Linked DNA regions of Cricetulus griseus. The protein of the gene in region 1 binds, or shares a complex with, the protein of each later gene. Links are inferred from orthologs where the notes say so. Each region holds a gene or a part of one and is shown in the gene's direction. Other genes may lie near its edges.

Evidence for each region.
Region 2: Eif4a3 (region 1) and Magohb share a complex: the UniProt entries of both Homo sapiens proteins name them as parts of the mRNA splicing-dependent exon junction complex. The link is inferred for Cricetulus griseus from reciprocal best matches to the Homo sapiens genes EIF4A3 and MAGOHB.
Region 3: the proteins of Eif4a3 (region 1) and Cwc22 are in contact, whole or in part, in a crystal structure (PDB 4C9B), measured with the Homo sapiens proteins. The link is inferred for Cricetulus griseus from reciprocal best matches to the Homo sapiens genes EIF4A3 and CWC22. Residues at the interface, in NP_055555.1 of Homo sapiens: Met43, Gly44, Ile72, Ile73, Lys74, Gly75, Gln98, Cys99, Met183, Gln213, Val256, Ala257, Glu259, Trp263, Asp266, Thr267, Asp270, Leu271, Tyr272, Asp273, Thr274, Leu275, Thr276, Ile277, Thr278, Gln279, Ala300, Asn301, Phe302, Thr303; in NP_001362958.1 of Homo sapiens: Thr129, Gly130, Gly131, Ala132, Tyr133, Pro135, Pro136, Ala137, Lys138, Arg140, Lys164, Asn167, Gly168, Ile170, Asn171, Lys172, Val173, Asn174, Ser176, Asn177, Ile180, Ile181, Glu184, Ala207, Ser208, Ile210, Phe211, Tyr215, Lys330, Arg331.
Region 4: Eif4a3 (region 1) and Upf3b share a complex: the UniProt entries of both Homo sapiens proteins name them as parts of the mRNA splicing-dependent exon junction complex. The link is inferred for Cricetulus griseus from reciprocal best matches to the Homo sapiens genes EIF4A3 and UPF3B.
Region 5: Eif4a3 (region 1) and Alyref share a complex: the UniProt entries of both Homo sapiens proteins name them as parts of the ALYREF/THOC4-EJC-RNA complex. The link is inferred for Cricetulus griseus from reciprocal best matches to the Homo sapiens genes EIF4A3 and ALYREF.
Region 6: Eif4a3 (region 1) and Magoh share a complex: the UniProt entries of both Homo sapiens proteins name them as parts of the ALYREF/THOC4-EJC-RNA complex. The link is inferred for Cricetulus griseus from reciprocal best matches to the Homo sapiens genes EIF4A3 and MAGOH.

What each region holds. Positions count from the first base shown.
Region 1 is NC_048600.1:131,838,114-131,842,368, reverse strand, and holds the start of Eif4a3 (eukaryotic initiation factor 4A-III), read left to right. Parts: upstream 1-1,455; 5' UTR 1,456-1,517; coding exon 1,518-1,686; intron 1,687-3,543; coding exon 3,544-3,616; intron 3,617-4,255. UniProt on the Homo sapiens protein: ATP-dependent RNA helicase. Involved in pre-mRNA splicing as component of the spliceosome. Core component of the splicing-dependent multiprotein exon junction complex (EJC) deposited at splice junctions on mRNAs.
Region 2 is NC_048601.1:16,036,677-16,039,691, forward strand, and holds part of Magohb (protein mago nashi homolog 2), read left to right. Parts: intron 1-662; coding exon 663-721; intron 722-1,660; coding exon 1,661-1,771; intron 1,772-3,015. UniProt on the Homo sapiens protein: Required for pre-mRNA splicing as component of the spliceosome. Plays a redundant role with MAGOH in the exon junction complex and in the nonsense-mediated decay (NMD) pathway.
Region 3 is NC_048599.1:97,135,506-97,139,645, forward strand, and holds the start of Cwc22 (pre-mRNA-splicing factor CWC22 homolog), read left to right. Parts: upstream 1-1,340; 5' UTR 1,341-1,523; intron 1,524-4,140. UniProt on the Homo sapiens protein: Required for pre-mRNA splicing as component of the spliceosome. As a component of the minor spliceosome, involved in the splicing of U12-type introns in pre-mRNAs. Promotes exon-junction complex (EJC) assembly.
Region 4 is NC_048604.1:29,397,791-29,402,021, forward strand, and holds the start of Upf3b (regulator of nonsense transcripts 3B), read left to right. Parts: upstream 1-1,431; 5' UTR 1,432-1,531; coding exon 1,532-1,687; intron 1,688-2,527; coding exon 2,528-2,634; intron 2,635-2,773; coding exon 2,774-2,880; intron 2,881-4,231. UniProt on the Homo sapiens protein: Involved in nonsense-mediated decay (NMD) of mRNAs containing premature stop codons by associating with the nuclear exon junction complex (EJC) and serving as link between the EJC core and NMD machinery.
Region 5 is NC_048600.1:133,091,013-133,095,165, reverse strand, and holds the start of Alyref (THO complex subunit 4), read left to right. Parts: upstream 1-1,353; 5' UTR 1,354-1,391; coding exon 1,392-1,625; intron 1,626-1,948; coding exon 1,949-2,080; intron 2,081-3,388; coding exon 3,389-3,536; intron 3,537-4,129; coding exon 4,130-4,153. Other genes in the region: Anapc11 (anaphase-promoting complex subunit 11), read right to left, coding at 500-608. UniProt on the Homo sapiens protein: Functions as an mRNA export adapter; component of the transcription/export (TREX) complex which is thought to couple mRNA transcription, processing and nuclear export, and specifically associates with spliced mRNA and not with unspliced pre-mRNA.
Region 6 is NC_048595.1:41,959,463-41,963,503, reverse strand, and holds the start of Magoh (protein mago nashi homolog), read left to right. Parts: upstream 1-1,241; 5' UTR 1,242-1,336; coding exon 1,337-1,424; intron 1,425-3,514; coding exon 3,515-3,573; intron 3,574-4,041. UniProt on the Homo sapiens protein: Required for pre-mRNA splicing as component of the spliceosome. Plays a redundant role with MAGOHB as core component of the exon junction complex (EJC) and in the nonsense-mediated decay (NMD) pathway.

The sequences.
Region 1 (4,255 bases):
CCAGGCTCGCAAGAGAAGGCGGCAGGAACTTGTTTTAGCGCGGGTATCTTGCAACCCGCAACTTCTCCAGAAACGGACAGTTTGCTTCTAACCACTGGACATAAACGATTTCCATTTTTATGGGAGCTTTTAAAGACTCGTGTGTGTGTGAGTGTGTACTGTGTGTGTATATATATGTGTGAGTACACGTGAGTGTGTACACGTGTATATGTGTGTACACATGTGTGAGTGTGTACACGTGTGTGAGTATGCACACGTGTGAGTGTGCACACGTGAGAGTGTGTACACGTGAGTGTGTGTGAGTACACGTGTGTGAGGGTGTACACATGAGTGTATGAGTGTGCACACATGTGTCTGTTTACACACGAGTGAGTGTGCACACGTGAGAGTGTGTACACGTGAGTGTGAGTGTGAGTACACGTGTGTGAGGGTGTACACATGAGTGTATGAGCGTGTACACATGTGTGTACACATGTGTGTGAGTGTACACATGCGTATGTACACGTGTATGTGTGTATATATGTGTGTGTACACACGAGTGTGTGAGTACACGTGTGTGTGCACACATGTGTGAGTGTGCACACGTGTCTGTTTACACACGAGTGTGAGTGTGCACACGAGTGTGCACACGCGAGTGTGTACACGTGAGTGTGAGTACATGTGTGTGAGAGTGTACACATGAGTGTGAGTGTGTACACATGTGTGTACACATGTGTGTGAGTGTACACATGCGTATGTACACATGTGTATGTGTGTATATATGTGTGTGCACACATGAGTGTGAGTACACGTGCGTGAATGTGTACACGTGAGTGTGTACACATGTGTGAATGTGTACACGTGTGTGTGTACACATGTGTGAATGTGTACACGTGTGTGTGTACACATGTGTGAGTGTGTACACATGAGCGTGTACACATGTGTGAGTGTGTACACATGAGCGTGTACACATGTGATGTGTGTATATATGTGTGTGTACACATGAGTGTGAGTGTGCACACGTGAGTGTGTGAGTACACGTGTGTGTGAGTGTGCACACATACAGGAGGGTCTCGTTAGTCACTCTTGGCAGTTGAGTGTCCTCCAGGTGTAAGCGAGCGTTTCCCAGGAACACACTCACGTGGGGCACAGCCAGACACACGGCTCTGGCTGCGCAGACGCGCGGGGGACGGGGTTGCCATGGCAACGCGGGCGGGGGCGGTGCTGAGCGAGGGCGTCCCTCACGCCGCGTCCCCGGGGACCCCGCGCCCCTGCCCGGAGCCTCCTAAACCCCACAGCGCGCACCGACGGCGCGGGGGCACATCACGCGGCTGCGCTGGATCTCGCGAGAACGGGAGCGGCGCCCACGCCCGGCGCCGCGCTTCCCGCTTCCGCCACACCAGGCGCCTCCCGCCTCTGGGAGGGCCGTGTCGCTCCGTGGTGGCGTCACTTCCTGCCTCCCGCGCCGGCGCCGGCGTCGGAGCCCTGCTTCCGGTTCCCGCCGCGGCTCGCGCTCGGCGCTCGGCGGAGTCGGAATCATGGCGGCCGCGGCCACGATGGCGACGTCGGGCTCCGCGCGGAAGCGGCTGCTCAAAGAGGAGGACATGACCAAGGTGGAGTTCGAGACCAGCGAGGAGGTGGACGTGACCCCCACGTTCGACACCATGGGCCTGCGGGAGGACCTGCTGCGCGGCATCTACGCCTACGGTGGGCGCGGGCCTCGCGGCGCGGGGAGGCCGGGCGGGGTGGCGGAGAAGGTGCGAGCCGCTCGGAGCGCAGGCCCGGCTCTCCCGCGGGCCGCCCAGCCAGGCTCGCCCGGTCGCTGGGGTGGCGGCAGCCGAGTGCGAGCCCGCCCCGGGCCCCGAGGCCGTGGGTCCCGCAGGGTCGGGCCTTGCGGGGTTTCAGCCCCGTTAGGGCCGCGGACAGTTAGAGGAGAGCGAGCCCCGGGGCGCACGGAGGACGCCCGCGGCCAGGCTGTGAGAGGTGTGGTGAGACTCGCTCCTAGACCACCCCGAAGCCTCTGCAGTTGAATGCGGAAAGGCGGTAGGGTCGGGTTTGCCGTTTGAACGTTTAGTTTGGTGTCCGGATTTGGAGGGAAGCGAGTTGGAGGAGGAGGCGGGACGATGTCCGGGCCGCAGAAGAAGGGATGCTGGGGATGCTTTGGGGCTGAAGGGTCTGCTGGTGGCAGTGGCAGGCAGAGTGCAGCCCTGCGTCATGTGGCTGCTGTGTGCTTAGGAGCATTTGAGGGAGGCTGCGCTCTGTCTGTTTTGTTAGGTTTTGTTCTTTCCAGACCTGGGGAAGGGGTGTCTTCATGGTAGCCCTGGCTGCCCTGGAACTCTTTGCAGACCAGGCTGGCCTCAGACTCAGAGATCTACCTGCCCCTGCCTCCCAGATGGTGCTTTTGTTCTTTTTTTTTTTTTTTTTTTTTCTTTTTGGGACAGGTTTTCTCTCTGTAGCTTTGTAGACCAGCTGGCCTCGAATTCACAGGCCTCCTGAGTGGTGGGATTAAAGGCCTGCACCACCATATCTCCCCCCCACCCTTGTTTTGTTTTTGAAGCAGGGTCTCTACATAGCCCTAGCTGAACTGGAACTCACTATGCAGACGGGGAAGGTGGGTCTTCCCACTTTAAATGGTTTTTAGTTAATTCCAGATGCAGTCAAATTGACCACTAAGATAACCATCATAGGTATTGTGTTGAATTGGGAAGGTGTGCTAGCTACAACCTTTTGGGGAGGGCGGTTGTTTTGAGACAGGGTTTCTCTGTGGCTTTGGAGGCTGCCCTGGAACTCAGGCTTGTAGACCAGGCTGGTCTCGAACTCACAGAGATCCAGCCTCCCAAGTGCTGGGATTAAAGGTGTGAGCCACCACTGCCCAGCTGCTAGCTTAAAGTATAAAAATGAACTATAAGGCCGGGCGTTGGTGGCGCACGCCTTTAATCCCAGCACTCGGGAGGCAGAGGCAGGCAGATCTATGTGAGTTTGAGACCAGCCTCGTCTACAAGAGCTAGTCCCAGGACAGCCTCCAAAGCCACAGAGAAACCCTGTCCCGAAAAACAAAAAACAAACAAACAAAAAAAAGAACTATAGCTTTTCAATGTAAGTTTTGTCTGCCTCTTGAGTGCTGGGATTTAGGGAGTGCACAACCATGCCTCGTCTGTCTAGGGGTGGTGCCTAGATAATGGGGCTACAGCCAGGTGAGAGCAGCATGCGGTGCCCACGTCATGCTGGGGACGGCAGGCAGCAAGTGGATTGGAGTGCTCGCCAGTAGGAAAGGGAGCAACCTCTGTGCTTCTGGATTTATGACTTTTATCGCAGAGGGGGTTTCATGTGGCTTAGGCGGACCTGGGACTCCTGGTGCTCCTGCCTCTACCTTCTCAGTGCTGCTCTGTAGACACTGTCCTCACAGGTCATCTTCCAGGCCAGTCTGTAAGGCGTGGTTCACCTGGCGGCCTGGGCTGGCAGTAAGAAGCCTGTATGTATGTGTGCCCCCAGGGAGCCTGTGCTGTGTGGTGTCTACGCTGTCACAGTATGAGGGCTGAGTCTTTTTCCTCTCTGTATTTGCAGGTTTTGAGAAACCTTCAGCGATCCAGCAGCGTGCTATCAAGCAGATAATTAAGGGGAGAGATGTCATTGCACAGTAAGTTGTGGGTGCTGAGAGCCAACTTGGGTCAGTGAGGCTGTGGGAAGATGAGTCTGCCTTGTCCTCTCTACACCCCCAGCTCAGCATTGACTTTTTTCCCTATCTAGAAAAGCCCTCCCCCCTTTTTTTTAGCCATGTATATTTTGGGAAGGTGCTTGGTGCTGTGGGTCATATCCAGGTCACTGCACATACTGAGCAACTGCTCTCCTACTCAGTGTAGATTTATGCAAGATACTTTTTTTTTAAATGTTCATTAGTGTTTTGCCTCCATATATGTCTGTGTGAGTGTGTCAGAAGCCCTGGACCTGGAGTTTCAGTCAGGTGTGACCTGCCATGTGGGTGCTGGGAATTGGACCAGGGTCCTCTGGAAGAGCAATCTCTCCAGCCCAAGATACTCTTTTAGTAGCTTTATTTTTTTTTTTTTTATTCCCCCCTCCATATGCTGGGTACTGAACTATACTCCAAACTGTTATTTGCCTTAATTTTATTTTCTTTTTTTTTCTCCTTTGGTTTTTTGAGACAGGGTTTCTCTGTATTGCTTTGAAGCCTGTCCTGGAACTTGTTCTGTAGACCAGGCTGGCCTGGAACTCAGAGATCCGCCTGCCTCTGACTCCAAAGTGCTGGGATTAAAGTGCA
Region 2 (3,015 bases), on another chromosome or scaffold:
AAGCTGCTGCTCGAATTCCTTTAGAGATCAGAAGAAATGCTGTGAGAGCTGCCTTAAGCATCAGCATGTCACACTTGAAGAGAATACTCAGTGCTTTGTCACAGTCACGTTTAGTTTAGGGGCTAGATTGAGAAAATAATCTTGTTTGTTGTGAACAACTTTAATCCCAGCAGTTAGGACACAGACTGAGGCAGGTGGATAGATCTCTGTGAGTTCAAGACCACCAACCTGACTACACAGTGAGATCTTGTCTCAGAAAGGGGAGGGGGGTGAGAACAGGCCTTAAGAAACCTGACCCATTCTAAATGGAAGCTGTGGAACATTTTTTTAATTATTAGTTTTTATTCTTTTATTAGTTCAAATTAGGAACAAGCTTGCTTCACGTGTCAATCCCTTCTCCCTCTCCCTCCCCTCCACCCAACATCCCAACTGCCCCTAGCCATCCCCCCTCCACTCCCCAGGCAGGGTAAGGCCCTCAAAAGGGGCTCCCCAAATTCTACCACATCATGCTGTGGAACATATTTAAGTTTGCTAGCTCACTTTTATATTATTGAGTGTTTATCACTCATCTTACACGAGGAAAGTAGATTTGCTACTAAAAGTGGGATATGAAATTGGCCTTCCCTTTAAAATTGCTCATGGTGTTCTTTATCTCTGCACAGGAAAGCTTAGATACGCCAACAACAGCAATTATAAGAATGATGTGATGATAAGAAAAGAGGTAAGTTGTTCTCTCTCTCTCTCTCTCTCTCTCTCCTTTTTTTGTTTTTTTTCTCATTTGAGATGGGTTCTACCTTTGTAGCCCTGGCTCTCCTGAAACTCACTGTGTAGAACAGGCTGACCTTGAACTCAGGGAGATCCACCTGCCTCTGGCTAAATTCTTTTCAAATGTCTAATATTTTACATTTTGTTCATTTATCTTGTCTGTATTGACAAAAGTTATTCATAGGTTCTGTTTCAATGAAGAAACCAATTTATAGTTGCAAAGGTTTCTCTTTTAATTACATATTACAGCATTTTTTAAAAGTTTCTTTTTCTAACGTGTGTGTGTGTGTGTGTGTGTGTGTGTGTGTGTGTGTGTGTGTGTTGTGTCGTGTTGTATTGTATACACATGTAGCAGCATGTATGTAGAAATCAAAGAACAGTTGGTAGGAATTGGTTTTTTCCTACTATGCAGGTTCTAGGGATTGAGCTCAGGTCTTTAGTCTTGGCTGCTTTTATCCCCTTGATGGTTCTGATTTTAGCATTTTGTAATATTTATAGCCTCGTATCATTTAATTCATTTTGTGAAGTGTGATTTTTAAATGAAAGACATGAAAGTGTGGCCTGGACTTAGCCTGCCAGCCCCTGGGTGATTATGTTGTGTCCTTACAATATAGCTCTTACGATGTTCCATTAATTGCAATAAGCAGATTGTTCCTGTTACAACTGGCAGACTGTGGAGCCTTAAAGCAGCTAGTTGTGAGAAGAGGGAAGGGTGTGTGATTAAAGGCAAGAGAGCAGAAAAAAAATTGTGAGATGGATGAATTTGGAATCAAATTCAATTTTTTGCTCCTATTCTGTTGGAATATTTAGGATTTATAGCTTGCTTTTATTATATCTTGCTGAACAGTGGGAAGACAGATGAACCTTATAAGATTTTACTGTCATTGGTTTTCAGGCCTATGTTCACAAGAGTGTAATGGAAGAACTGAAGAGAATTATTGATGACAGTGAAATAACAAAAGAGGACGATGCTTTGTGGCCACCCCCTGACAGGGTTGGCAGACAGGTCTGTGCTTCGTGATTTTTTAAGTGGACAGAGTCAGTTGATACAACGACTGTGTGTTATCTTATACATTCATCATGGTTTCTTATTGAAAGTTTGATTATATAACTTTGTTCTCTTTAAGATTCATACATGCTGGGCAAGCAAGTACTCCATCCAAGTTACACCTCCCAGCTCTTAGCTTGAATTTCTTTGCTATCTTCAACTGTAGAGGAGTCAGCACATAGGTCTAAATTTAGACAGTATTCTACATCTTTTGTCTAGTCTGTCCAGCCAAAGTTAGGATAGTTTGACGCTGCTATGTAAATTATCCATTATTGTTAATTATTTCTATTGTAAATCAGTACAATATTGCTAGCTAAATTTGAGAGCTAGTTCTTATCACTGAGTGCAGCAATTCACTTTTTCCAAATTTTTATCTTTCAGAATTTGTTTATTTGAATGCCCCAGAAAAAGTCTTTTTTTTTTTTTTTCTCCTTTTTTTTTTTTTCTTTTTGTTCAAGTGGACCACTGTATTTGCCTCTTATATTCCCTTCAGAACACTTGATGTTTCTCAGAGTGCTCCCAGAGGACTCTGCAGGCCCAGCTTCACTCTGTATAAAGACAGTTTGGTTTCTGAATTGGGAATTTTCAATTCTCAGAGAAATGAAATACAAGGCCTGGGAGAAAGAAACATTTATTTTCATTTTTCTGTGTTCCTGAGGATTGTACTTTATATCCACTGCTTTCTTTGACTAGAAGACAATGTAGAGAGATCTAATACATGCTCAAAGTAGCAGAGACACAGCTGTTCTGTGGCAAGAGCCCAATGTAGAGTATGGTATAAGGAAAGAGAGGTAGTGATCTGTGTTTCTAAGCTGATATACTTCTTTTAGACGGTAGTTTGGTAGTATATATCAGAAAATGTCAATATTTTCCATCTGTTTTTGCCTTAGTGATCTAATTTCTGAATTATCAGTTCTAGAAAAATACCTGCAGATATGGAGAGGGCGTCATTAGAAATGAAAATGTTTCTCTCCTAGGGAGAGCCAGTGCTTGTATTTTGCCCTGGTGATGTGTTCTCATGATGGGTAGCAGGCCTGTTCCAGAAATTGCCACTGGATAGTTAAACCAAGAATTTTGTGATTATTAGAGAATCTTAGCTAATTCGTAATTTGCTGTATCTCATAAAGTGCAGAGTTAGGCCTTTTGATTAAATAACTAGGGCTATCTTTTCTAGCATCTGCTTGGTAATTCAATGTAAAAAC
Region 3 (4,140 bases), on another chromosome or scaffold:
AAGATTAAGGAAACAGTATAATTGATGCCAGTTCAGTGAATTCTTACAGATTTTACTTTCCAGCGTTACAAAGTAGTGTTCTCCTTATCCTAAGCATGCCAGGTGGTACCTCCCTAAGACCAAAGAGTCACAATCTAACAATCTATCTACAATTTGCTTTTTGCTTTTTATTTTGCTCTTTTTTTTTTTTTTTTTTTTTTTTTTTTTTTTTTTTTTTTTTTTTTTTGGACAGGGGCTCACTATGTAGCTCTGGCTGTCCTGGAACTCACACAGATATGCCATATGCCAGCCTTGGCCTCCCAAGGGCTGGGAGTGAGCACCAACATGTTGGGTTCCATTCACTTGATTTTAAAATCTTGGAACTAAACATTTTGTCACCTTTTCCCCCCTGCTAAACAGACGTTTGGTAAAGCTTTTTGTCAAAAGCCTGAAAGAGATTTCTACCTTGTTTGAGAAAGGGTTTCTCTGTGTTAACAGCTCTGGCTATCCTGGATGAAAGGTTTCTATACCCGGATAAGCCTCTCCACCGATGCAGCAATCCATGTCAGACAAAATCAAACCGAATTAGAGAAAAGTCCATGTTTAATGGATACTCCCTGATGGACTTCCAGCTCCCAAGAGAGGAGACAGAAAGAAAGACTTGAAAACCACATGTCTATTACCCGGGGAGCAGTTTAAATACCCTGTGGAGTGGTCTTGAGCATCTCTGGGAGGGTCATCATTTGGCAGGCTTTCTGAGATGAAGCAGGGATTGGAGGGAGATAGGGGAAGGGATATGGGTGGAACTTCCACCATAACATTCCAGATTCTTTGGATATATGGATGTCAGGGGCTGGGGTAAAACTTCTACCATAACACTGGGACTCACATTGTAGACCAGCCTGGCCTCGAAACTCACAGAGATCCACCTGCCACTGCTTCCTAAGAGTGATGGGATTAAAGGTGTGTGCCACTCCACCAGGTTAGGGAACTCTACTCATTTTTAAGATCTTCATGGTAAGGCTCTGTTCTATGGTAGAGTACTTACCTAGTACGTATCTTAAGGTTAAGCTTCAACACTGCAAAAACACAAACAAACAAACAAAAAACAAAGCCAACAGAAAGTGACTGCTAAGAGCTACTTTTTATGGTAATAGAAATTGTTAAAATAAGTTGCATGCCTGGAAACCTAACCCACAATCAAGTTTCTCTGTTGTGACCGCCTACCCACTACGAACTGCAATTCCCATGAAGCTCCGCGGTTATCTCTGGCAGGGTACTACTTCTCATTTCCGTCCGCGCTACCAGAGGATCCTGGACATTGTAGTTCACACGGACTTCTATTTTCGCACAGTCTTGGCAAGGAGGGACAGGGTGGATGGCTGGATTGCTTTGACTCTGGTGTTGCTCACGGTATTATCATTACTAGAGTAACATACTAGAGTCAATTTACTACCAGATTTCCACGAATTTCTCGCTCTGCCTTCACCCGGGAAGAGGAAGTGACGCACTTCCGGTGCGATGGCGGCACGGTGGAGCCTTAGGTAATTACCGAACTCTGGAGACTCGGGATAGACAAGCAGCCAGAGTGGGGGCGGCGGGGTGCTGGATCGCGTGTAGAGGACAGGAGCATGCGAGTGGGTGCTGGCCGGGTGGGCCTCGCTTTCCGCGCGTGGCTGCGCCGTCTCCACCGGCGGCCCGCGCCCCGCGCGGTGCGGCGTGAGCGGGCCGGGCCTGGCGCTGGTGGAGGGGACTGAGCGAATGGGCTCTGGTCTAGGTTCTCGCGGGTGGACGCCTTTCCTGGGAGCTCCCAGGGCCGTATCCTCGCAGTCCCGCTTGCTGAAGTCCCTGCTCCTCAGGACCCGGGGCTGGCATTAATAAACTGTAGTAACGCTCTTGCCTCATTCAACTTAATAGCCCACTGGCCAACCCTGTTAACATTTTCATTTGTGGTTCTTTCTCATCGACTTGACTGAACCTCTGTCGTGTGCCTTATCCCTAGTGCTCCATGTTTCGCTTGGTGTGCGTTTTATCTCTCGTCGTTAATCCTAACGCTAAAATATCTGTACTATTCTTAAGTCCCAAACATAGGTATGCAGTACTAGTTATTTTCACCTGCTGTAATTGCGAGACAATTTTATCCATTATACCCGCCAACGTTTATTTGAGGGAAGCAGAGAATGATTTGGGGAAGCATGAATTATTTTAAGCATGGTAAGCCTCTGGAGAGATGGCTCAGAGGTTAAGAGTGCTTGCTGCTCTTGCAGAGTACCTGGGTTCAGTTCCAGGCACCGACATGGTGAATTACAACCATTTGTAATGCCAGTTTTCAGAGGACCGGATAGCCTCTTGCTGAGCTGTGCTGGCACCAGCCACTTGAGTTGTGCACATAATGTACATGAAGGCAAAACACCCTTACATGTAAAAATGAGCTACATTTTTTCGGTGAATTGTGCACTGTATTTAATAGACTGCATTTTTTTCTATCCCTAACATCCTAAGTTGTTCATGACTGGCCTAGTCAGACTCAGTCAGGGCATAGACTAGTTTCAAAAAGAAGTGGTTATTAGTTTATACAGCTATACTATCAAATTTCCTTTGTTTTCTGTTTAAGTCTGAGCTTACTAACATGAGAGGGTAGGGGAACACAAAGGACTCTAGTATGGATTTCAGCAGCTCCTCAGGCTTGTTACACATTTTCTTACATCTCCCAGGTAAATGTGGGAAAAGACATTTGGATGCTGACCACAGCACAAACTTTGGAAGGATTTTCTTAAAAGTTAGCACATGGGCAGAGGAGTGGATTGAAACACACCTTTGCCTTTTGTAACATCAGTAAATCCTAGTGAGCAGAAAGCAGAAAAACAAGTATGGGGCTTCCTTCTTTAGGAAAAAGCTTCGGTGATTAAAGAATGAGCTGCTATGAGAGACCCAGAATGAACTGATGTTTAATCTGTGCTTGAACCTAACTCTTTAATGGCTTAAGCTGCACAAAGCTCAGTAATCCTTTGGGTTCTCTGAACCAGTTTATTGAGTACTTTCCTTCTAGACCAGAGCTTCTGTGGCGGGTAGTAGTGCTGTGTGTCTGGAGGCTATGTTGTAAATTTCTCTGTGGAGAGATTTCCTTTAAGCCAGACTGTGCTCTGGAAAAAAAACAAACAAAACTTATAATGATCAGAAAGGTCATTCCAGTTCATTCTATGAGAGTTAGCAGAATATATTCAGCTCTACATTTAAATAGTAAAGCTGAGGACCAGATTTGATTTGGGGAAGGGGAGGATACAAAGTATGAAGGTTAGATGAAGGCCTGTGATACACTCCTATGTTTGTACCATCAGGGTCCAGTTTCCTCTGTGCCTAAAAGGGCACAGCACCTAATAGTGCTGCCTTGATGCAGATTATGACAGACAGCTTGGTGGTTCCAAGAATAAGAGACAGAGGAGTGTTCTCTATATGTTGTCAGACTAACTTTAGTCCTTTGTGGATCTAAGATAATGAAAAACCACCCTCCCTTTCTCAAACTTAATTTTAGAATTGGAACCTGTTAAGAGTCTGGTACTGTCTATGATGGAGAATTTCAAAGCTCTGCTATATCCATAAAAAGCCTTTCATGGTTTAGCTTCATCGGTCTCTTATGGTCCATCTCATTTATGTTCAGTTTCTATATGTTCCATTTATTCAAATGACTTAGTCACCCACCTTGGGTTTTTTTTTTTTTTTTTTTTTGTCTCTCAGCCTGTATGCATGTGTTTACCTATCCAGAATGACTTTCTCTTGTTACGTGGGTAATTCCTACTTGTCCTTCAGGAGTAGGCCTTAGTATCTCCTGCTTTCTGTACACCCCAGGCTTTTTCTTTTCCAGCAAATCTGTTTGTGGTGTAGCTACATTTAGATATTTCTTCTCTACCTTAAGGATAAGAACATTGACCTTTGATGTCTTCTGTGTTGTATAATGTAAGTATTGCCTCCCTCTCCACAGCCACTGTTTTTACCAGGAAGACTATAACTATGCTGTAGCTTCATAATTTTGGGAGTCCTGTATCATATATTTTTCAGTTGTTATAGCATCAAAGAGACTCTTCTGCACAAATACAAGCTTGAGCAATTGAAGAAAACATCTAGTACACGATTAGAAGCACTAAAGTGTTTTATTACAAGGCA
Region 4 (4,231 bases), on another chromosome or scaffold:
CTTCCTTCCTTCCTTCCTCCCTCCCTCCCTCCCTCCTCCCCCCTCCCTCCTTTCCTTCCACAGAAAACATCTTGTTGGGTAGCTCAGTCTGGTCTAGAATCCATGACCCTCCTGTTTCAGCTCCCCAAGTGCAGGGACTGCAGGAAATTGCCACTGAACCTGAATTAATAGTTCTTTTTATTGCTCATCTTTATGGCATGTATCAGTGTTCACCACCACGACTTGATTCTTGCTTGTCCATTCACCTGGTAATGGGTATTTGAATTGTAGGAGGGGTGATTCACAATCGATTTTGTCCTTTTTTAAAATGAAGAGAGTAAACAAAATCAAGTTGGGCATTTTCCTTTCCTTCCTTGTTGGATACCAAAACCAGGAGAGAATCCTTCAATTAGAAAAAGAAAAAAACGGGTGTGTGTGTGAAAATAAATTTCATACATTTTGGTTTTAACTTCTTTTTTTCGGTTTTTCGAGACAGGGTTTCTCTGTATTGTTTTAGAGCCTGTCCTGGAACTAGCTCTGTACACCAGGCTGGCCTCGAACTCACAGATCACAGCGATCCACCGGTGTCTGCCTCCCGAGTGCTGGGATTAAAGGCATGCATCACCACCAACCGGCTGGTTATGGCTTCTTGAAATTACTATCTTGTGTATTTCTTGAGTCTCTGTAAATCCTTATTTCATTTCATTTTATTTAATTAGTGAATTTATTTATTGGTTTTTAGAGAGAAAGTTTCTCTGTGTAACCCTGACTGTCCTGAAACTCAGGCTGTACAACAGGCTGGTTTCAAACTGTCATAGAACCGCTTACCACCCAAAAGAGACTCTAACGCTTCTGAAAGCATACTTCGGTTAAAAAAAAAAAAAACCTTTTCCTTATCTATTTATTTATTTATTTACCTATTGATTGTTTGGTTGATACAGGGCTACACTAGCTAGCACTAATTTGCCTTGAGCTTGCTATTTAGATTAGACTTTGAACTTGCTGTGATCCTCCACCCTCAGGCTCCCCAGTGCTGGGATTACCGGCACTAGCTACCACAGGCTGCTCAAAACCTTGTGTGTGTGTGTGTGTTTTTTTTTTTAATTAAAAAAAACCCTCTAAAAAAGTAACATTAAATGACCACGTGTAGTTAAAATTAGGGACCCTGAGACATCTGCATGATTCCCACGTTCTACTACTAGGCGGGCAGCTGCTTTGCATGCAGGGAGTTGTAGTCCTCTCGAAACAAGATGGCGAAGTTGCCCGCGAAGGGGCGGGCCCCGAGGGAATGTGGGCCGCTAGGGGATTGGGCAGCGCGGGGTTTAGGCAGGCGGGAAGTAAAGCCCAGGTATTAAAACCTTCTCCCCAAGTGAAGCTGGGTGCCCTAAATTCTCGCGAGATCTCGGAGAGCCCAATGGAACGCCGGGCTGGGCTTATCACTAGGGGCGTTTGTTAGGGGCGGAGCTCCTGAGGGCTCTACCCGCGAGTCGTAGGTGCCCGGCGTAACGGCATTGCAGCTGAGCCACGGCTCTGAGGAGCGTGAACCGTGGCCATGAAGGAAGAGAAAGATCACAGGCCTAAGGAGAAGCGAGTGACCCTGTTAACGCCTCAGGGTGCCACAGGCGGCAGCGTGGGAGCTACTGCCGAAGGCGCCAGAGGGGAAGATAGGCACGATCGCAACAGAGACAGGAAAGACGCTTTGAGCAAGGTGCTTATCGGCTGGTGGCCCCACAGAGGGCGGGACGTGTACACCGATTGGGGAGGTTGGCTGGGAATGGGGCTCTTCCTCTCCCGGCTTTCTCTCTCGTTTCTAACTGAATGAAAATCGCTTCGCACTGTCTCACGCACTGGTGGGAATGGGATTAGCGGATTCGGATCAAGCCCCTGAAGTGGGGCGTGAGGGAAAGGGGGGGGGGCTCCCAGATGACAAGGCTTTCAGTTAGAGCTGCGGATGTGGGGTGGGTGGTCACGGGACGGGGGAGCGGCAGTAAAGATAGGGGGAACTTTAATTGGGTTGAATTGCTAAATAGCCCTTTCAACAGCGGGGGTGAGGGGTGGGAGTCATTGTGGTGTTAAGTGTTAATGGAGGCGACTTAGGGAATTGCGTTTAGGGACCTGATGACCTAAAGCGGCAGACCTTGAAGGAGGCGTTCAGCGAAATCTTTACATATGTTAAGCAGAATGGGGAGGGGGTTCTTTCAGCGTATGTTACACCTGTGAGAGACATGCTTCCGTTACAGCCACGAAAGATCGGAATTTGGCTACCTGTTTACCAGTAGTTCCGTTTTTTTTTAAATGGATTTTAAACTGCGAGGTTGCCATTTAAGAACAGAACCTAAGATTGTCCTTGCGCCAGATAGTTCTCATTTCCCAGAGGTTTTATAAACCCCCATTCTCTCTACCTTTGACTAATTCTGAGCTTGGGCTGCAGAGTATTTTCAGGGTTATTCTAAATGCTTTTGTATTTTAAAGCCGATCAAGAGCCATGATTCGGGTATGCCAGAAAGTTGATGTGTACTGATTTTCTTTTCCTCATTCATTTCCTAAGGTGGTAATTCGAAGATTGCCTCCCACTTTGACCAAGGAGCAGCTTCAGGAACATCTTCAACCTATGCCTGAGCATGATTATTTTGAGTTTTTTGCTAATGATACTAGGTAAAAAAAAAATTAAAAATGGGGGTGGAAAACACTCTTCTGTACTTTTTGTTTTTGAGCTACTTTCTTTAATATATACATGTTTGCAATTCAGCCAGACACCTGCAACCATATTTACACAACTGTTTCCCCTCTACAGTCTGTATCCTCATATGTTTGCCAGAGCATATATCAACTTTAAAAACCAAGAAGACATCCTTTTATTCAGGGACCGATTTGATGGCTATGTATTCCTTGACAATAAAGGTGAGTATAAGATTTAGGAGAGTGGCCATTTTTACATTTAAGAGAAGGTGTGCAGCTGGTTGTGATGTGTGCCTATTATCAGTGCTCTGGTGACAGAGGCAAGTTTGAGGACATTCTGGGCTACATAGAATGACCCTGGGAAGAGCACTCTTGAGGGGGGTGGGGGTGGGGGAGAGGGAGGGAAGTAGGGGGGAGAGCAATGTACAAAACAATGCTTTCTCCATGCCTGTATAGGTACTTTTTCTAAATTATTTTGAGGTAAAATGTGCAACATTTGAAGGATTTTTGTAATCCTGAGATATTTTTATTAACTTATTTCTTTAGTTTGGTCCAGTGAATGAAGTTGCCACTGATTTCTCCTTATGTAACACTTTAAACTTGTTTCAAATGTTGACTTTTTGTTTCAAAGATATTAACTAATATCCTTTATGTCAATAGTCCTCAGAATACTGTTTATTTTTCCTACAAAGTTGTATGTAGCTAAAATGTCAAATTTGCTCTCCTGGGCTGAAGATGTAATTATGTGTGAGGCCCTGGGTATCATCCCCAGCATGAGCAAAATAGACACACAAGTTCTTGGTTCCATGATATACAATGTATAACAATGAACTTCTGTCTCTCTCTCTCTCTCTCTCTCTCTCTCTCTCTCTCTCTCTCTCTCTTGTTTTTTTTTTTTTTTTTTTTTTTTGAGATAGGGTTTCCCTGTGTAGCCTGTCCTGGAACTAGCTGTTGTAGACCAGGCTAGTCTCTAACTCACAGAGATCCGCCTGCCTCCCGAGTGATGGGACTAAAGGTGTGTGCCACTACTGCTCATCCCTGACTGAACTCTTTTTTGGTTTTTTGAGACAGGGTTTCTCTGTGGCTTTGGAGGCTTTCCTGGAACTAGCTCTTGTAGACCAAACTGGTCTCGAACTCACAGAGATCCGCCTGTCTCTGCCTCCCGAGTGCTGGGATTGAAGGCGTGCGCCCACCACCGCCGGGCCTGACTGAACTCTTATCTCATTTTTTAAGATTTATTTACTACACATACAGTGTTCTGCCTGCACACCAGAAGAGGGCACCAGATCTCATTATAGATGGTTGTGAGCTACCATGTGGTTGCTGAGAATTGAACTCAGGACCTCTAGAAGAACAGATACTGCTCAACCTCTGAGCCATCTCCCAACCCTCTTATCTCATTTTTTATTTGCTATCTGTTACTTGCAATATTTAGTTAGAATGTATCCAGGTTGGCATTTGTCATCTTTCATTTGGTTTTATGATCATAGATAAGTAAATAGGGTTTCTTGTCTAGTTTTATTTTCTCAATTACTTCAAGTTTTCAAATATTAAATCCTTGTTATGGTATATG
Region 5 (4,153 bases), about 1.3 Mb from region 1:
TTTTGAGGAATTAAGAGAATGACCAATCATCACAATGTATCCCAGGCAAGCTTCAAACTCAAGCCTCCTCTTGCCTCTGTCTGTGCCACCATGCCTTGGCAAAAACAAAAGTGTTGTTTTTGTTTATTTGCTTTTCTTTGTTTTTACAGACAGACTCTCATTATGTAGCCTCCAACTCAGAGGCTACCTGTTTCTGCTCCCAAATGCTGGTATTACAGATGTTTGCCACCATGCTGGATAGGGTCTTTATACAAAAGTGAGTTTGAAGAATTCGTTTATTTTCTGTCAACTTTCCTTCAGGAAATGGAAAGTAAAACCCACGGTTTTATTTTCTGGTTTTCTTAGTTTTTCGAGACAGGGTTTCTCAGCGTAGCCCTAGCTGTCCTGGAATCTCGGAGATCCTCCTGCCTCTGCCTCCCTAGTGCTGGGAAACCCAAGGTTTTCAAGGCTGGTGGAGCTGGCCGAAGTTCTGAGAGCACGGGGGAGGGGGGGCACTTACAGTCTGGACAGCAGCCATTAAACGCCATCCTGCAGATGCCACAGTTCTCATCGTTGGCTACCCAGAGCCACGTGGCCACACCATTCCAGCACTTAATCTTCACCTTCATGGCAGCAGAGCGTGCGACCTGAGGGAAGAGGGTTTCCTGGCTAAAGTTACTCTGTATTACTACCACAGACGGCACTTGAGCATTTAAGGCGGGGAGCTGCGTGCTAGGCGCCTCCAGGGAGCCAGGCTCCCAAGTTGTTTTGCTATGTTGAAGGTCGTTTTTAGAGCTGTGCACCCAGGTAGCGGGCCAGGCTGGCTCACGCCTTTAACCTCAGCGCCGCGGAGGCAGATCCGCCCAAAACCAAAGGAGGAAAACAAAAACAAAAACCACTGCATCCATGAAAAACACCTCGGTTTTCACTCACAACCCGCGCGTGACAAGCCATCAGCTTGCTAAATTTAAATAAAATTAAATTTTAAAAAACCATCCCTTCGAGCCCACAAACCCCAAATCGGATCCACAGATCGGCCCCCCGCCTCGCAGCTCAGGGACTCGGCGGGCGGACGGACCGAACTCGATCCGGCGCCTTCCGGCCTGCGCAGGGCGGATCCCAGGCCAGGCCCCGCCCACGCCTCGCCCACTCCACCTAATCTCGCGGCGCCCCGCCCTTCCGTTGCAGGAGCGCGGGAGGTATAAAAACGACCGCGCCGCGCCGGGCGCCACACACTCGCGCGGGCCGTCCTCCTGAGCGCAGCGCAGGCGCCCTCCGCTCTCCGCGCGCGCCGAGGCCAATCAGGGGCAGCTTCGGGGGCCGCGACGCCGGAAGACCAGGGGAAGCTCCGGAAGTGACCTAGCGACGTGCTGACGCGCGGGCTCGATCTGAGGCCCGATTCCGCGCCCGCCATGGCCGACAAAATGGACATGTCTTTGGACGATATTATCAAGCTGAACCGGAGCCAGCGAGGCGGCCGCGGCGGAGGCAGGGGCCGTGGCAGGGCCGGCGCCCAGGGCGGCCGCGGCGGGGCGGTGCAGGCGGCCGCGCGGGTGAACCGAGGCGGCGGGCCTCTGAGGAACCGGCCCGCCATCTCTCGCGGCGCCGCCGCCGGCGGCAGGAACCGGCCGGCTCCTTACAGCAGGGTGAGCACGGGAGGCGCGGCGCCGGCGGGGCGGGCTCCCGGCGCCCTGAGGCGGGCGGGCGGGCGTCCTGCGGGAACCGCGGGAACGGAACGGAACGGAGGGTGGGCGGGGGCGACGCCGCGCGGTGAGCGAGGCCCCGGTCACAGGCCGGGATCTTCCGGGACGCTTTGTCCGGTCCGGTCCCGCCTCGTGGCGGCGGAGCGGCGGGCGTGGGGGTCGTCTCCTCCGGGCTCTCGGGCCGCCGTGAGAGAGAGAGTGTGAGTGCCGGGGAGGGATCGGGGCGCCCGAGACGAGGTCGCTCACGAACCTCTCTTTCCCTTCAGCCGAAACAACTTCCAGACAAATGGCAGCACGATCTGTTCGACAGCGGCTTCGGGGGTGGAGCCGGCGTGGAGACCGGCGGAAAACTGTTGGTGTCAAACCTTGACTTTGGAGTGTCAGACGCAGATATTCAGGTAAGAGACCAGAGCCGTCCGCATGCTTATCCCCACACACAGAATCCCTTCTGATCAGAGCCTGTGCTCCCCCAGGCTGCCCAAGGGCCAGCCGCTGCCCTCACAAAAAGTAGTATCCCCTGGGGTTTGAATGTGACTGATAGGTCAGGCTGCTTGGAAGGCAGCCTGGTGTGCCCCCAGAGTGGCTCTTGTCTGCTAACGTCACGAGCACCTGCCGTCTGCAAGGCTTACAGTTTCTAACGGGCACAGACTGGCCACAAGTCCGGTCCCTGTGTGACCGAGGGTGCTAGCTTCTCAGGCTTTGTGCCTGTAGTAGTAAGCTTATGAGAAGGAAAACTCTCCCCACCCCCACATGTCTGAAGGCACAGGGGTGAATGGTGGCTGTGTGTCTTCCAGACTGACCTTTCCTGGGTCTTACCAGGGGCATTGTTCTCATACCTTTGGTTGAAGTCTTTTTTTCTGTCTGTCTGTCTGTCTGTCTGTCTGTCTCTCTCTCCCCCCCCCCCCATCTCTATCCTCTCTCCCTCTCTCTGTCTTTCTTCTGGCCCTCAAATGCAATTAGAGTTAACAGAGCAGGTTTTTAGGAGTTAGTTTTGGGTCATGGGTGCTGGGCCTTTCTGGGTTCCCTTTCTCAGAGCCCCGCCATTTGGCCTTGTCAGGGAGCATAGAGCAAGGCCAGTGAGCACTCACAGTGTCTCCACACTTTTTTTAAGGTGGTTTCTGGCATCCACTGGAAACCGCTTTTGGTGAACTTCACTTCCCGCTGTGTGCCTGCGGCCGAAGTAGCCCCACACTCTGGGTTCCCTCTCCAACTCCCAGCCTGCCTGAGGTCAGGGCAGTCTCCATGGCGCATTTGACTTCAGACTTTGCAGCAGGCTTGAGTAGGAGGAGAGGGAAAGGTGAGCCAGAATCTGCCTTTGGGGGAGGGGCTTGGGTCACAGCTCCCCAAATCAGTGGGCCCTTTGAGCTGTCTGCTCTATGAACAGCTTCCCTTGGTTTTTCTCTTGGCCTTTGCTATCTGATGAAACAGCCATTAGTCAGGTTGTGAGTGCCCTTGCTGAGAGAGAGGTAGTTTCTGTGTGCTTCCTTCACCTGCATCATGGTACAGTCACACACGTCCCAACGTGGACAGGAACCCAGGTGCTCAAAGTGACACCCTTCCCTCACCTCTTGATTGCCTCTGCCCCGCCCCTTTTCTGGGTGGTGGTCAGTAAAGTAGCACCCAGGAACCCTCACAGCTACTGAACTGAGCCTCTAGAGGGAAAACAGCTTAACTGCTTGGCTAACAGTTGCCCTGTCCACTTCCAGGAACTCTTCGCAGAGTTTGGAACGTTGAAGAAAGCAGCCGTGCACTACGATCGCTCTGGCCGAAGTTTAGGGACAGCAGATGTGCACTTTGAACGGAAGGCAGATGCCCTGAAGGCTATGAAACAGTACAATGGTGTCCCTTTAGATGGTGAGTATATGGGGCTGGGCCCAGGATGCCTGGGGCTTACGGAGTTTGGGGCTGGCACCTCTCCCTGTAGGAATATGGGCTGCCCCTGTGGCTGAGGACACTTTGCATTTGCCCCTTTGTCTCTCTCTTCCATTCTGCCACCTCTCATGCTGCCCCACACATCTGGACCAACCTCTTGTGAACCCCCATCCAGCAAGCTACATCCCTCCCCTCCTTCAGCTCCTTCCGGAAGATTCACTTCTGTGAAGCCTTCTCAGAACCGCCATAGTACAACCTGAGTGCGGGGCTGTAGTCGTAAAGACAAAGGTACCTGTTCTTCTTCCGTCAGGCTACCCACACCTGTCCACCCATGAGCACCCTGGACACCTGACCAAACAGCCCTCTTAGCCTGAACTGAGAAGGAGTGAGGAGGTGTTGGTGGGGTGTTATTGCCACTTTATTTTCCCACCAGGCTCTCTAGGCCTTGTACCTTGTTGGGGGCATTGGAGACACACAAAGGCCCTTTCTAGAGCTTGCATGGAGACCAGGGTGTGGTGCCTTCTGGGTCAGCTTCAGAGCCTCTGGAGTGAGACTTGTTGTATTCTTTACCATAGGCCGTCCCATGAACATTCAACTCG
Region 6 (4,041 bases), on another chromosome or scaffold:
ACAGTGTGTGTGTGTGTGTGTGTGTGTGTGTGTGTGTGTGTGTGTGTGGCTTAGAATCACTGTGGGTAAGGTATCTGGGAGTGGGAATCCAATGTCCACTTTAACATCCTCCCACAGCACCTATCCTAGACAGCAGTGAGCCTGGGAGACAGGAGAGATGAGAGGCAACTTGTGCCTAAGAGGTGACACTCTTGGAAGTTGAGGTAGGAGGGTCACAAGTGCCCCGTCAGTCTGCACCTTGCCTATAAATTGTAAAATAAGCAAACGGCAGAAGGGGATGTTGGCAGTGCAGACAAGTTCCAGGCAACGTTGTGGATTGGGGAAGGAGTCATTGAAAACGGGGGGGGGGGGCGGGGGGTGTTGTTTGTTTTTCGAGACAAGGCTTCTCTGTAGCTTTGGGGTCTGTCCTGGAACTCGCTCTGTAGACCATGCTGGCTTCTAACTCACAGACATCCACCTGCCTTAAGGATTAAAGGTGTGCACTAACACTGCTCGGGGAAAAGTTTTCTTAAAAGAGACAGCCAGAGCTGTTAAACAGAGTAACTCTGTCTGGAAAACCCAAAACAAACACACAAAAGTAAAGCGAGCCGGGCGTTGGTGGTGGCGCACGCCTTTAATCCCAGCACTCAGGAGGCAGAGGCAGGCGGATCTCTGTGAGTTCGAGACCAGCCTGGTCTACAAGAGCTAGTTCCAGGACAGCCTCCAAAGCCACAGAGAAACCCTGTCTCAAAAAAAAAAAAAAAAAAAAGTAAAGCGAACTTTTTCGAGACAGGGTCTTACAGTATGCAGCCTCTAGCCTCAACTCGTGACTCCTGGGCGGCGTTAAGCTTTTGAGTGCTAGGCCACAGCTATTCGCTACTACACTGCCCCTCAAACGCAACTCCTGATTCAGACCCTGGGGGTGGGGAAGGGGGCAGCGTGCTCAAAGATGGGGGAGCCATTTTTTGCCCATTTTACTGTGGAGACCACCTGGGTTCAGAGTGTGAATGGCCTCTTTCGTGTGTCTTTACATTGCGGTTGAGCCTGACTGGACTACAGATCGCAGGGTTGGCCCTAAGCCTATAGGTAAAGCTGCCCCGTGGAAGCCCAGGACGTAACGGAAGCGCAGGACCTCGCAAAGCACTCGATTTCCGGAAAGGAGGAGCGGTGATCCGGATCTCGCCGCAGGACGCGGGGGCGGGGTAGTCTCGTTCCCGCCTCCCAAGGGTGAAAAAACTGTTATTAACGGCGCGGTTGTGGCGTCACTTCCGCGCGCCGCCGTTACGTCAGTAGAGGGCGCAGATCGTGGTAGTGTGATCTGTTCGTAAAGTTCGGTCTTGATTGTCCCGTGTGAGCCATGGAGAGTGACTTTTACCTACGTTACTACGTGGGTCACAAAGGCAAGTTCGGTCATGAGTTCCTGGAGTTTGAATTCCGACCTGACGGTAAGAGCGGCCTCCCGCCTACAAGGAAGGGAAACGGGACCTGGGGGAGGGCGGAGAGGCCGGGCCGCGGCTTTTGTGAAGGAAGGGACTGAGACCGGAGCTCTTGGGTTGTGAAAGGCGTAGTCTTTTCTTTCGGCCTCACTGGTCCTTTCTGTCCATACGCTGGAGCTTCTCCTTAGTAACTTTTGGGTTCTTTTGGTTTTTCGAGACAGGGTTTCTCTGTGTAGCTTTGGAGCCTGTCCTGGCAGCCTACTCGCTCTGGAGACCAGGCTGGCCTCGAACTCACAGAGATCCGCCTGCCTCTGCCTCCCGAGTGCTGGGATTAAAGGCATGCACCACCAACGCCCGGCTTCTTAGTGGCTTTAAAAAGCCAGGTTGTTAACGTTTCAACAAAGATTGATTGAATGTCCATCTTACACCGGGCCGTGTTCCACTCTGGGGACAGAGCCACGAAGATAAATTTCCCCTCTCGTGGAACATGTGTTTAGGTACTGGGAGAAACCATAAACAGTGATCTCCTGTAGTGAGGAGTGATCCGAAAATAGGGTCTCTTTTTCGAGAGCACTCTGAACAGTGGGTATTTGAATTGAGCCGGAATCGAGAAGGGACCAGTCAGTTTGTGAAGCTCAGGAAGAAAAGTCTTCTATCGGAGTGGCAAATGTAGAGGTCATAGGACAGCAAAGAACCAGGCATGTTTCAGATGGCCGTTGAGGTGACTGAAGGACAGAATTCTAGGGAAACCAGTAGGAGATGATGTTAGGTGTTTGTAGACCATAAATAGGAGCAGCAGGAAACAGCTTGAAGCTTATAAGAGAAAAGGTGTGATGATCTTCAGAAAGCATCCTAGCGCTTGGACACAGAATAGACATGAGATGGCGGTCGGGACTAGGACAGCTAGGACTATAGACGTGGAGAAGACTTAGGATACTGTTGGAGACGATCTGAATGTATCTGATTGATAATATTTTGGGACGGTTGTGGTGTGGTGAGGAGGCAAGGACAATTCTACTCAAATCTTTCCCTTTTTCAGTTAGTTCTCTATAAGATGGACAAGAACATGTAGCAAGAGGCCTGTGTAATTAGATGACTGTAGTTCTCTGATACTGTCAATAACTTCCCTCTGCCTTCCTGACAAAATTCAAACCCCTTACCATGGCATACAGCCAAGCTGAGTTCCTGTCTGCCTTTTCAACCCTACAATACTCTGCCCACACTACTTTGTTTCTGCCTGCAACATCCCAAGCACTTTTTAGTTTCCAGTGTCTTTGATGTGAATTTGGTCCAAAACACCATCTTCTCTATTCTTGGTCCCTTAGCCCACACCTACACTTCACATTCTTCCTATATTCCACCCACCTAAGTCACTTTATGCATGAAACCTGCTCAGACAGTCAGACTAAATTAGATGCTTCTCCCCAAAGTTCCCTGTTTTTTTCTGCCACATGACACTATATACCCAAACTAGCCTGGTGGTTGTACTCATGCACAGAAGGACTTATGAACCAAATGTGCTCAATTTAAAAGTATGCAGAAATAGATCATACCACAAGACCACATGGGCATGTGTATGTCGCTTCCTACCGTTTTCAAAATACTTTCAGCATGTTCTCTGTGCAGGGAACTTAGCAATTATCATTTCTGTTTACAGCTGAGATCATTGACCTGCTGAAAAGCTATTTGCCAGAGTCGTAAAAGAGCCTGCCTGTGTTCTTTTGCCAAATCAAAGTAACTTTTGCCTGAACTCTATTTCAGTGTCAGGTTAGTCTTCAGCTGTTTCATAATTTAAAGTGGAGCACTGTAAAGACTAATATAATAGCTGTGAATTGGGTTGAACATTGAATATAATGCCGGCTACAGCGGTGGTTGCCCACACTTTTAGTCCCAATACTCAGGAGGCAGAGGCAGGTGGATCTCTGTAAGTTTGAGACCATTCTGGTCTACAGATCGAGTTCCAGGACAGCCAAGAGAGAGAATTGGATATAATTTAGGCAAAGTTGGTATTGTTAGTAGGCTACTGAGTTGATGTTTTGTTGTAAATTGCATTTATTTATTTATTTATTTATTTATTTATTTATTTATTTGCCCCACAGGAAAACTTCGATATGCCAACAACAGCAATTACAAAAATGATGTCATGATCAGAAAAGAGGTAGGACCCTGTCCTTCACTACCAGTGAGCCCTTTACATTGTTTCTGCGCTCTCTGGTAATAGTAATGAAAAGTAAAGAGTGGAGAAACAAATACTTCTTTTTCTTTGTTTTCTATTTGGTTTTTTGTTTTTGTTTCTCAAAACAGGGTTTCTCTGTATAGCCTTGGCCATCCTGAAACTCCCAAGCTGGGTTTGAAGGTGTGCTCCATCACACCCAGCTAAGCACTATTTCTACACGGCTAGATTATTTCTCACATCTTTGGTTTGCATGTTTTTTATTTATTTATTTATTTATTTATTTATTTATTTATTTGGATTGCTGAATTAATAACTAGCAACTTTTTGAAATCTCTGTGTTGGTTTGAACCCTCAATATGCTCCATACTGACCATGTGACCTCAGATAAGTTCCCTGGCTAAACTTGGTCACTATACTTCCATCTGCAAAATGAGGGATAATAAAACCTAC